2 linked regions of the Xenopus tropicalis genome follow. The protein of the gene in region 2 purifies or fractionates together with the protein of the main gene of each other region. This does not show direct contact. Links are inferred from orthologs where the notes say so. Each region holds a gene or a part of one and is shown on either strand. Other genes may lie near its edges.

Region 1 (6,367 bases), on a different chromosome or scaffold from region 2:
TGCTGACTTGGTTTTAGAACTGCTTCTACACCAACCATGTTGGTTATTGCAGACATCCAACAAAGAGGTTATTATATTTTCTGGTGGTGTATAAGAGGTGCTCTAATAAAAGGTACCTGCTTCCCTGGTGTCAATGATGAATTCTGCGGGCTCAAATGTCCTCCCTTCAGTCAGACCTTGACCAGACACTATCACTCGGCTGGCATCCCCGATTTCGGATTGGCTGATCATTACAGTGATTGGGCTGTTGGGGATGTGGATACCATTTTTTTTTATGCTAACAATGTGTTCGCCTGTCTCCTTTGGCACAAACGAGATGCCTACAAAAGAAGCAAGCAGATTAAAGAAGGTATAGGATTACAGAAAGAATTCATTAAATTGTATGTACAGTGAAAATGCCTTATGATTATTTAGAGCAAAGACCTTAAAAGGACATGTGTAGAGGATTATGATACCGGCACATAAATTAAATTAGACCAGATTTTCGGCATATTTAGTTCACCATGCATATATCATTCTTACCAACATGGCCGTTTCTGAGCCTCTTGAGCAGACATGGCTCCTCTCTTCCAGATGGAGAGGTCACTGTAGCAGTCAGCTGGCTCAGGTCTGTCTCTACAATGTTCAGGGGGATGTCTGCTGCAGACCCAACCTTCAGCTGGGACATACGCATAGAATCATCTCCTGTTTAAGAAAACACACAAATATCAGGTTTCAGAGCTTGTGCTATAGTTACAGGAAGCTTTAGGTCAGTGATCCCCAACAAGTGGCTCGTGAGAAACATGTTGCTTCCCAACCCTTTGGGTGTTGCTCCCAGTGGCCTCAAAGCAGGCGATTATTTTTAAATTTCTGGTAAGAAGGCAATCTTTGTTTGCATAAAATCTCAGTGTAATTGCCAAACAGAGCTTTGTGTAGATTTCCAGTCAACATAGGGGCTATCAAATAGCCTGTTATATATAAATAGCTCTCACTGGCACCTTAAGGAATATTTTTGATTTTTGTGTTGCTCCCCAAAACTTTTTGACTATAAAAGGTTGGGGATTTCTGCTTTATGTGATCACCAATACAACTTACCTGTTATTTTAGCAACAAATGGACTTCCCGGAATATGCTTGTTGTTATACTTGACTAGGATGTTGTAGTCTCCAGGGAGCACAGGGAGATAAGAAACTGTGCAGGTCCCATCCTGGTTATCTGTGCAGCTGATCTCTGCTTTGGAGGGGCCCTCAATAGCTAGTGACAAGCCACCTAGGAAACAAATAAAAGATTAGTCATGGCATTCAGTTCAGAGCTAGCATTCATGTTGGACAATGAAATGCATTAACTTTTCACCTTCTCCAGCATCCTTAGTGTTCACAGTGAAGACAGCAGGTTTATTCACTGTTCCATGAATCAAGCCTGGGCCATAGGCAGTAACATGGCCACTGTTTACATAATCCACATAAAACTGTAGGGGGCTTCCTATAAAGCAAGAGTTCTGGTTAAGAGTGAAAAATAAATACAGCCGCCAGTCAAAATGCAAAGTACAAGAATACTTAATACAAATATCAGCATATCAATCAAGCCTCTTATAAAACCCTTTGCCAGTAAAATTGTCAAGCTACTTTTAAGGATTAAAGGTTTTCCTAACAGATTGGTGCCAAGGTGGAGCTGCAGAATATTACCTGGAATATGCATGCCATCATACTTTATATCCATCTCATGGAGTCCAGCTTCAGTGGGAGCATATCTCACCGTGACTGTTCCATCTTTGTTATCAGTGATGTCAGGCTTGGCCACCTTCCCTGATGGCATTCGCACTTCTCCTGCAGTCAAAATGAATGGCTTTGTTAGCGGAAAAAAAGGTGGTCGACCACCCAACAAAGTTCCCTTTCATGGACCTATTAATACAAACTACTTATAGCTTATGGAAAACCCATAAGGACAGAATTGTACTTCATATAGGGTCATATTCCGCAGTGCTTTACAGGGACAGATAAACTGAAAATTCTGTTAGTGTTCCATTTAGGGATTGCCTTGGATATTCTGGTTTCCACCCACCCTCCACTATCATACAAGGCTTCCTTATTATCATCATAAATGATAGACTATGATACGCAAACTCTGTTCTACTCCCAAAGCCCTATTAACCAACAACACCCTAGTTACCACCAGTTATTAAAACACAAAATTCTTGGCTAGACAATCACTAGTCATACTTAGAAATGTTATAGTCAAGTTATGCTAGTTTGCCACAAAACCATGGTAGAAAAAATTAGTATCAACACTTAATACTAGTACATTTGTCATGCAAAACTGCAGTCAGACAACAGCTTAATGTCTGTTTCCTCTACTCCATGCTTACCTGTAATCTCTCCTTTTTTAATGGTGAAGGGAATAACCAGATCAAAAGGTCTAAGTCCTGCCACATCCAGTCCATTTACACCCATAACTGGACGATCAGTAGCCTGAAATGAAACTTAAGTGAGTAAAGAGTCCTTCCTGACAAGGAAACACAAAACACTTCCGTCAACAGATGACAAAAAGATTCCCAACTCCAGTGCAAGTTCTTATCTGTACTTCAATAAAGACAATGCACAGAAAATAGCAATAACTATGTAATGTAAAAACCACAAGTTTCCTACTATGGGACATCATAATGATTGAGGAGCAGCAAAGTCAGTAGGGACAGATTCAGGGAATCTTCCAATTCCAACCCCAAAAACCTCTAAATGGTTTATAGAATCTAGTATATCATCTTCTATCAGTATGGTCTTTGGGGATTTCCAGAAATAAGCTCTGGCAATTCAACATTCTGATAGCCAATGATATATCTGGGGGGTGTTGTAAAGCTGCAGCTATAGGTTGGATATGCCAAACGTACATGTGACTCCCTCCCCCTCGGGTCCACTTTCTTGGTAATAAGCTGATAAGTAAAAATGGCTGTGGCGTGGATTAAATTAATTCAATATTAGCGCAAAACTTTATTTAATAAAGCTTTCTGTGAATTGTTTGATAGAATACAAAACAATTCATATTAAGAAACATGGTATATATGTTTTATTTGAACTTGAAACAGAGTTGGTTTTTACACACAAAAAAAAAAATGGATTTAGTCTTTGCAGGATGTTTATCCAAAAAAGCTGGCAAACCTGGAAAATGAATTCTGCAAGAGACCATTAGACAAAGTCATCAGACACCAGGTGAAGACTGACCAGAGGTGGAAAAGGTCACCTCATTTGTGCCACCCACACAAGGGCTGGTGACAGTAAGGAAATCTGATAAGAGATGGATTTTATGGGCAGGGAGACATTAGATGTTGGGTATGAGGAGGGGGAAAAAAAGAAGAATGGGAAGGTATGGGAACGGACAAAGACTGAGCCCAGCAACATCAACCCTCCTCCCCAAATTTGAAGGCCAGTGGAGACCGAGGTGAAAGTCCATCTCCAGGGCATTGCATGCAGGGAAGGAAAATAAAACTCCTTAGAATCCATGGTGGCGCTTTGTCACAGCAGAAAGCTACTGAAGTGAAGCATTCCCTACAGAATCAGAGGGTAGGTTAGGCTGAAAGACCAGAAATATAGATAAAGGTCTGACCAATGAGAGGCTTTTTTTTTTTTTTTAAAAGCTGGCACAAGACGGTTTGTACTTGTGAAGGAGCATGCAACAAAGTTCATCGCTAACATTCAAAGCAAGTCACTTCAAACAACCCAGCAGATAAAGCCATATGTTTTTTACTCCGCCCCCTTATAAATGGGTACCCAGAAAATACTCCAAGAGCTCAAACCAGACCCCTAGAGGCCAGCTGCAACAAACAAACAAGCTGATAGAGTAAAGCTTTGAGAAGATGCAGTGGTTGTGGCAAGTACTGGATTCCAGAGTTCCTTTCTCCAAACCCTCAATGCCCTGGGAAGGTTATTCACCTCCAAATGACACATTTACTGTTAAAGGCAGGGTACCCAGGGTTGTTGCATGCCCGGGTAAGCGTATGGTGGGGCTAACTGCTGTTGAACCATCTGCTGAGGCATCATTTGCTCGCCGTCCAGAGCCTGTGTTGGAGGTGTAAGCAAAGGTTAGATTACTTTCCAGCTAGTCAAGTAACAAGACACAGGTCAACGGATTGACTATATCGTAAAACGTTTCCCAGCTGTTGCTGAAATACAACTTCCAAATGCTAGCAGCAGAAGCAGATCACGATTCCCCCAGGAATATATGTGAAGATTCCAAACCTACAGAGATACAAGTCTTTATGCACAACTAATGGTTCTCTACGCCTATGGCCACCACCAAGAGAGGTTCAACTGGTCTTCTATGCAGTTCCTGCCTCCCAATTCCCATCTTACATTTCTATTTGACTTTGTGTGTTATGAGAAACCTAAGGAAGAGGTGATTCCTAGTCTTTTGTGTTAGGTGTCATTTCTTTAGGATTTATTGTATATGCCTTTATTCCAGTCTAGACTTTTCCCATCAATCTGTGTGTGCAGACCATACATAAACAGAACACTGATGTGACTGAACCACAAATGTGGCTGGCTGATGGAGAGTTTAGTGCATTACTAAACCGAATACAATGTCTCTGCTTATCTATAGATATAGAACAGTTTGGTCCCAGAGTATACTGACAGGAGGTTTGGCCAAACAGTCCGATACAGTTTCCTCATATTTTGTTTAGTGCTGGTTGAGTTCAAGGTATAGTATCTTACAATCTCTAGAAACAATCCATCTCCAGAGGAAAGATGCTGAATGGGTTTGGAATATTCTAGCAGCAAGCCTAGCTCTTAAAATTCAGGCACCACATGCATGTAGGATATTCAGATTACAAAAAACCCCAAAACTTCAAACATCTCCTCTCATGGTCGACAAAACTGGGAAATGCAAATTTTAGCATAGGAAATTTTGCCAAGGTCCTTGTGGACATGCTATTATGTACACAACATGTATCTTTACACTTTATGAGGGGAAAAGTTTAAAGCCAACATTCTGGAAACTTGAAGATATTATTCCCATTCAAGCAGACTAAATTAAAAGCATCTAACTCATTGGGCTACTTGGAGACCCTGGCGAGCCTTCTTGGAAACGAAAATATCAAACCTAACAAATCATCCAAATTAACAACTAATGGAGTGTTTGCTCTGCTGACCGATTCAAAGACAACAGGAGTAATAAATGGCAGCATATAGATTCCATAGGCCTGTGTAATGGAAGCTAGTATAAGAGATGGACCCACGACTATTCTACACCTGACGCTCCTTCTGTCTGATACCCCCTTTCCCCCCTCCCTTCCCCGGTTACCTTAATTCAATCCAACAGCCATAAGCAATACACAACAACGGACAGTCTCTTCCCTAATACAATTTTATGCTTTAAGTATTATGTATAATAGATAGCATCGTCAAACCACTTTCTGTGATGTTCACTATGCTTTTTCTCATTATCCTTGAACCGATGCTCGACTATGTCTATTGCCTGTTTGGATTGTACATAAAACCCAATAAAAATTTCAAAAATTAAAAAAAAAATTAAAAGCATCTTTGATATGCCTTTTACTTACCGTGACCTGGAAAGGACTGTTGGGAATGTGTTCCCCACCGAAGCGCACACAAATAACATATTTTCCAGGTTGTGGAGCTGTATAGAATATGTCAAAGGTGCCATCTTCATTCTCTACCACATCAACATCTACTTCTGTGCCATCTGGAGTGCACACAGTGCAGGTCACTTTACCCTTCCCAGCTGCTTTGGCATCAACTGTTATTACGGTTTCTTCGCCAATCTGTATAGTTGGACCAATGCCGGCACCTGACAGTACCAAGAATGCAAAAAATAAGTTAGCAGGGGAAATAAGCTCCCAAAAATAGTAATCAGTTTCATGCAACCAGTCACCACAACATCCAAGAAAATCCCCATTATGTTCTTCAGAACACTCAGCACTCAGGAAATTTAAATAGACAATGTGCAGCCGTTTTCAGAACTAGCCTTATTTCAGAGGAACAACCATTAAGGATTGTTGGAAGAGATCATAGCTAAAAACCTTGAATAGACAAAGTAGTATATTGGTTTTGAGCCATAAATACGACAGCCCATATTTGATCTCACTTCTTAATGTATATGTATTTACATTCTTTTCAGGGACTCAGGAAGAGCACCAGACTCTCGAAAAGCAAATTGGCTCTTGCATTTCACCGACGCCAAGCGATTGGTAATCTTACACTGCGGAGGTTTCCAAGCAGTGCCAACTACATCAGCCATTGCCATGAACAGAGTTTTGTATTTTAGCAACAGAAGTTTCCCAGCATTCTGTGGAGCAACTAAAAATTTCCTGAAGGACTGAGGTCCCAAGTGAGAACATTTTAACTTTTACATTCCTTTTTATTTTTTTTATTTTTGC
Region 2 (6,367 bases):
CTTTCTTTGCCTTTTCTCGGTGCAGAAAACTGCTGCAGGTCTCAATCGAGACGGACCACTATCCCCATAAATACAAAGCTGCCTGTATTTGGAAGGAGGGTTCCCACAGCAGAATATACAGTATATTTCTCCCTTCTTATCATGGTATCACAGCGGTGCCGGTGCTCATCCTCACATTCCCTTCATGACACCACAAGGACACTCGTGCTCAGCTACACAGCACATATGCATGAGGCATATGGTAGATATAAATACCCATAAACAGCCCCTCCAAAAATGAGACTTGTGATGGCCACAAAGGGATTGATCATACTCACATCAGTAGAAGCAGTCAGGGTTTTGGAAAGAATGACTCTGGCCAGCCCATCTCGGCTATAATCCAGGCAGGAGATGGCTAACTTTAACAAGTGATCTTGGTTTTTCAGGGAGCAAAGATTCAAAAGACTGCAAGAGAGCACAGAACACTGACTGAACCTTCCCTTCTCATATTAATGACCTTGCATGGATGGAGATATATAGAAAGGAATTTTACTTCTAAGCTATTTCCCAGTGTCTATGAAGATTCTCATTCATCTAGGTAATGATATACAATATCTAGTAGAATTCAGTCTAAAACAACTGGACTTTTCAGAGTTTATCTTAAAACATTTCACCACTCATCCCCTTTGCCTATCTATTTTCAACACTGCTGGTTCTGACTTCTGAAACAATGTTGCAGAAGGCAGCTGTGAAGAAGATTGCAAAGCTAACCTTTGCTATATCGGTTTCAAATAAACAGGGGCAGATAAGACATGGTTTTATATGAGCAAATGGCTTAATAACAAATGAAAACCTTTTATGAGCGTACATTGAAAGATGTGTAGAATGACTTTTGCTTTAAAAGGCAAAAGGTTATTTTTGGGTTTGTATCTCCTTTCACAGGGATATGACACATAGTAACATAACACATCAGAAGCTAAGCTTTCTTTCCCTCTCTCGGGGGGGGGGGGGTTGTGGCCAATGTGTTAAAAATGATATTTAGGGACCAGCGGGCTAACACTTTTTTTTGTGTAAAACTGAACAAATAAGTGTGGCAGCAACACAACTATTAGCTTTAATCAGTTAAAAAGGGCAATAAATAACAAGTATGTGCCATCACATTATGCATCTAGACAAGAAGACATTGTACATAATCATTTCTAACACAGACATGGCCCAAAAAACGGTCTATAAAGGATAAGTAAACCTTAAAAAATGTAATGTAAAATTGCTAATAGTGCAAAACTTATACTGAAATATATAAACTGCTTAATAGCTTTGGAAACAAATTATTAACTGCGAAAGTGCTTAGAAGGTCATTCTGAGCAATTTTACATTATATATCAAAGTCAAGCCACATAAACATTAGCTACATAAACACATTATATGTTCCGTTTAAGAGCAGTAAACTGACAAAACATAATTTTTTGACAAGCCCACTGCATGCTGGGATGAGTACCTCACCATCTGTCCCTCCTGTGGAAGATTCATACATGTTGGATAACCCTTTATAAACCATTACTTTTTTTTAATGAAACCACTGGTTTGCATTAGAATCTTAATTTAAAGGCTGCTAAACGATAATTATAAACGTAGTATTTAGATAAATGATACATATCACTTTCTCGTCAGTACTCTGGCATTTATTATTAGCACTGGACATTTCTAGCTAATAAAATCCTCACCTGCACCACAAGAATCAATTTTGTACATTGCTATTTTAGATATTCCTATCCCATGAGAGAAACAAGAAATGATAAAAAACCCATAAGAACCATCTTAGACATACAGAGTTGCATTGGCCATGCACGGGCCAAGCTGCCGATATCAGTCCTTTAGATCGATTTGGCAGCGTAACTGCCTGTTTATGGGCACAAACGACGGGCCTGCCTGACCGACATCTGGCCTGAAATAGGCCAGGTTTGATTTTTCCAACGGATCCGGGACCGCATTGGCTCGTTAAAGTGGTCCCCGAACAAATGGTGCCTAAACGACGAATAAGCCCGATATCACCCACCCGTAGGTGGGGATATCGGGAGAAGATCTGCTCTCTTGGCGACCTTGTATATGGCCACCTTTAAGGAAAGGCTAGTAAAGAGTTAATCTCAAGCTGCAGGCATACCTTCAGTTCTCTCAATAGTGCCCTTAAGTCTCCCCATTTTTCTCCCGTTCAGATGATCAGAAGCCAAACAGGAAGAAAAAATGCTGAGCTGTGTAAAGAAAGTTCCCATAATGCCTCGCTCCTGCACAGACACCCATACCAAGTGAACATGCTCAGTTATTAAGACTATGGGGGACATTTATTAATTCACGAACGTCCGAAAAGCATCCGAATGCGTTTTTTCGTTATGATCGGTATTTTAGTGATTTCTTTCATCGACGTCGCGAAATAATCCTACTGTCGCGCCGAGTACGAAAGTTTCGGATTCTTTCAAGCGTCAGAATCGTGACTTTCCTTGGGCCCAGTTGGAGCTGCAGAGTGCCATTGAGTCCTATGGGAGGCTTCCAAAATCATGCAAAGTCGGAAAGGTTTGCCCGCCGTTTACGAGCGCTCAATACGAAAGAGGCGACGAAAAAAAATCACAAAAAATACGAAAAAGTCGCAAAATGTTAGTTTCCAATCCGTTTTTTTCCCATTCGGGATTCAGATTCGTGGATTAGTAAATCTCCCCCTATGAGTCAGCTTCTTGCTGATTGGCTCAGATCCACATTCCTGGGGGGGGGGGGAGTGAGTTCTTAGCATTCTTGAGGGAGGGGGGAGCAGGAGAGAGCAGAAAGCTGCGTGTCTCTGGCACAGACATAAGAAATCTTTTTTGAGAGAAGTCAGTGCAGCGATTCTGTGAGCGCTTATGGCTGTATTTAAATAGAGCTTTCTGATAAAGCTTACTTAGTTTTTACCTTTCTTTCTTCTTTAAAGAGGGAGAGACTACATATTGTAAGAGATCCAATCTCGGTTTTGACCAACAAGCTCGGCCTAAAACAGACTGCATTGTTGTGTTGATGTCAAAGGATAACATCATGGCAGAAGTGAAAACTGATTATGAAAATTTCCACTGAGGCCTCTAACCAAAATATGCGGAGGTGATATACTGGGTGCGGACTGGTGAGCCGCGTCTCCATGCTTTATTATCAAACTACTGGTATATTACATACATCTCATTTCCCCTTTAGGAGTAAAGTACATACAGTGCGGCTTTCAACCAACCCATTTATACTGGGTTTTTACATTCTAGTTAGGCATTTGCCAGAATACACAAACATGGTTTATGTGACACGGTCCCACACTTGCAATGTATGTGGGGCAGTACTTACCACTGAAATACATTGCATTTCTCCAGCATTTTGACGCCATGTGGGTGGCAGGATAGAGTACCAATAAACAGAAAGTAGTGCTGGCTGAGTGTGTTTAGGAGGCCATTGTTCTGCAAGCTTCGATCTGATTTCATTCCTGATGACAAGCTTAACCAGAGCACAATGTCTTTCACCAGGTCTTCAAGGTAACTTTGCCCATCCTAAGAAAGCAACAACAGATAATGATATAAATTTGGCTCAGGGCATTTTATACCTGCATTAATTAGAAGGGAGATGGGTTGGTTCTATGTAGAGCTATAAACACACTCAACGTAACAAGTGTCTTTCTTCAGTAACTGCTTAATTACCACTAGGGTAGAGAGAACCCATATGACATATACAGTCTGGATTTGCCAACATGGTGATAGGGGCCCAGGCATTTAATTTTAGACAAGATCACCAGTTTAGCAATTATACAATAAAATGGAAGGGGGGAGGGAGTTTCCTGAACCTATTGAAAGATGTATAATTAAACGGATCCGCCTCCAGTCTCTCTACTCACTTCTTCGGATTCCAGAAGGAACTCTGTGAACTGGCAGCCCACGACAGTCAGCTGTTTAGCCTTGCTATAGTCCAGATCTAAATTGGCATAGAGCTTGCTGCTAGGCTTGTAAAAATACAGTAGTCGCCGAACAAACCTGAAAGGCAAAAAAAATGTGAATATCTTAGTCAGTATGAGCAGGACATTAAATTACTACATAACTTGCTGGGTGCCAAGCAGAAGGCTACCAAAGACAAATTGCTTGTATTTTAGACAGAGGTTAAGCCCTGGGCACAATGAGCGTTTTGTCAGCTGCTGCCATCTGATAAACAAGAGTAGCAACAAAACAGCCCTCTTTGCCTCTTCCTGCTTCAAATACTAGTGAATGAAAAGTGGATAACTAGACTCTCATACAGCGGCGACAGGCTGATATTGGTGCCAAACTCTCGAGCTAGCATTTTGGCACCAAAGACCAACTATCATTGCTCTGCGTGTGCAGTATATAGGGTACCGCTGATATCTGCTGGGTGGCAGCCAAGGATAAAGGCACAGCAAGAACATACCTGCACCACATGAAAAATAAATGACTAATGGATTGCACAACCTGAACCCATCATGAGGTTGCAAGACTGATTTAGAAACACATCAGTCCAGAATTAACAATGTCCATTCCATTAACCTAACCTAACCCATTAAAAAGTGAATACCCCACAAGACCCAGTCCTGGCTAATTGCTCACATCTCTTCTCCCCTTATATCCTCTTTCCTGTCTCCTATTTTTTATTTTTTTTTTGTCACCTCTGTATTGTTAAGCTGAGCAATCTTTGAAAAATAATAGCTGACAAAGGCAAGAACTGGAATAAAAGTGGGTGAATAAAACATATTTTGGCTTTATAAATCACTATAGGTTATATTCTGCATTGACCACAAAATAAAAATATCTGGAAAGCACAGTGTTCCCAGGAAGTCTCTAGGGACAAGGTGCATCATTGCATTGAATTTAAGTCCTGCTTACCTGTGCAGCTGCTCATCTTTGCAATTCCTTAAATTCACATTTGGCCACTGTGGAGAGGGAAAGAGAAGGTTTTGTAATTGTCAAAGAGTTATAGTTCACATGAGTAGATCTGTGACTGTCATTTTAGCTCTATGTCAGATTGTATCAATGGGCATGAGTGTCACAAAACGGGACTTCTCTCTGGACACACAGGTATTACTATGCTATTCTGAACAATTGCTGGGCGTCTAGCATCTGCTCTGAATAGTCACTGTCTGGAATGATCAGTTCAAAACAGCACCCATACTTTCCCTATTTGCATATAGGAGGAGTTCCCCTTTAAATTATGATTACTGAACTTAATGGTGTAGCTTTTCCAGTTGCTAGGGTCTCATTTAGTATAGCCACAAGGCAGTAGTCTGAATGACAGAGTGGCAGATGGGTAGGAAAGGATGTAAATAGAGCCTCAATAAAAAAGTAACTAAAAAGGCTATAGCACACAGAGCATTATCCCACTGGTAAATAGCAGCAGACAATAATGCCCCTCTCAGTCTGTAGTAAAGTCCTGCACAGAACCAATTTTTAAAGCCTGGACACATAGCCTGCAAGCCACGACCAGATCCGCATTTTTACTTGCTTTGACCCACTACCCGACCTGACAGTGCCTTTTCCACAACCTGATCCATGACCTGCTGACCGAAATCAAACAGGAATTGTGCTCATTTGAAGTGGGTGGAGGTAGACAAAGAAACATTCAAAAAAATGTTTAAAGGAGTAAAATATAGATAACATAAGAAATATGGATAAAACACCCAACCCAACCTGCACCTCGCAGGTTATCTGCTTTTCTTGCAGGTAACCTGTGGGTACCAAACTTACTGAAGGACTCTAGCCTGTAGTGTCCCCTAATACTACTATAAATATAAACGCATGCTACTGAGTGCACACAGGGCAGTGACAGACGGACCTTGGTACATACTTGGTAATACCCAGGCAAGCAGTTGGTGCTGAGAGTGGTCAGTCTGCCCTGTGCATGGTTCACTAGTACTAGGACAGATAGGGGCATTTTTACAATAAATGCCCTGAGTGCCTCGGCTTTATCAACAAAAATATAGCTCAGAAAGCCATAGTGTTTTAGCTGTTGAAACACACCAACCAGACAGAATTTAAATTTGCAAGTTGAAAAAAAGGCAAATGATTCAAAATCTATTAAAAAATAAAGATCACTTGAAAACTTGCTAATAATAGGGCATTATTATAAAAGTTAACATAAAGATATGGCTGAAGCTGTGGACCTCAAAGGCTAAAGAGAAATGCAGCTCTACACTGTTTCTGGTCAGCTGATGTACCCATCGCCTGATCAACTCCAATGTTTGGTCAGCCACAACAAATGGTGCCCATCCATGGGCAAATGTTAAAGAGAATATGACTGGCAACTAATCTAGCCCTATGAAAAGTTGTAACGTTCACAATCCTGTCCGCAGAATGCACACATTTGCGATTATAAGTTCCATTAACCTGTG

The links. Proteins that work in one complex are often made in the same cells at the same time.
Region 1: the proteins of rictor (region 2) and flna purify together in Homo sapiens (affinity purification with mass spectrometry; 3 studies listed by BioGRID and IntAct, with this or other methods). This does not show direct contact. The link is inferred for Xenopus tropicalis from reciprocal best matches to the Homo sapiens genes RICTOR and FLNA.

The regions. Positions count from the first base shown.
Region 1 is NC_030684.2:31,808,345-31,814,711, reverse strand, and holds part of flna (filamin-A), read right to left. Parts: intron 5,779-6,367; coding exon 5,531-5,778; intron 4,029-5,530; coding exon 3,939-4,028; intron 2,448-3,938; coding exon 2,345-2,447; intron 1,806-2,344; coding exon 1,665-1,805; intron 1,462-1,664; coding exon 1,333-1,461; intron 1,249-1,332; coding exon 1,075-1,248; intron 685-1,074; coding exon 523-684; intron 321-522; coding exon 117-320; intron 1-116. UniProt on the Homo sapiens protein: Promotes orthogonal branching of actin filaments and links actin filaments to membrane glycoproteins. Anchors various transmembrane proteins to the actin cytoskeleton and serves as a scaffold for a wide range of cytoplasmic signaling proteins.
Region 2 is NC_030677.2:197,054,547-197,060,913, reverse strand, and holds part of rictor (rapamycin-insensitive companion of mTOR), read right to left. Parts: intron 4,913-6,367; coding exon 4,866-4,912; intron 4,008-4,865; coding exon 3,872-4,007; intron 3,531-3,871; coding exon 3,331-3,530; intron 445-3,330; coding exon 318-444; intron 1-317. UniProt on the Homo sapiens protein: Component of the mechanistic target of rapamycin complex 2 (mTORC2), which transduces signals from growth factors to pathways involved in proliferation, cytoskeletal organization, lipogenesis and anabolic output.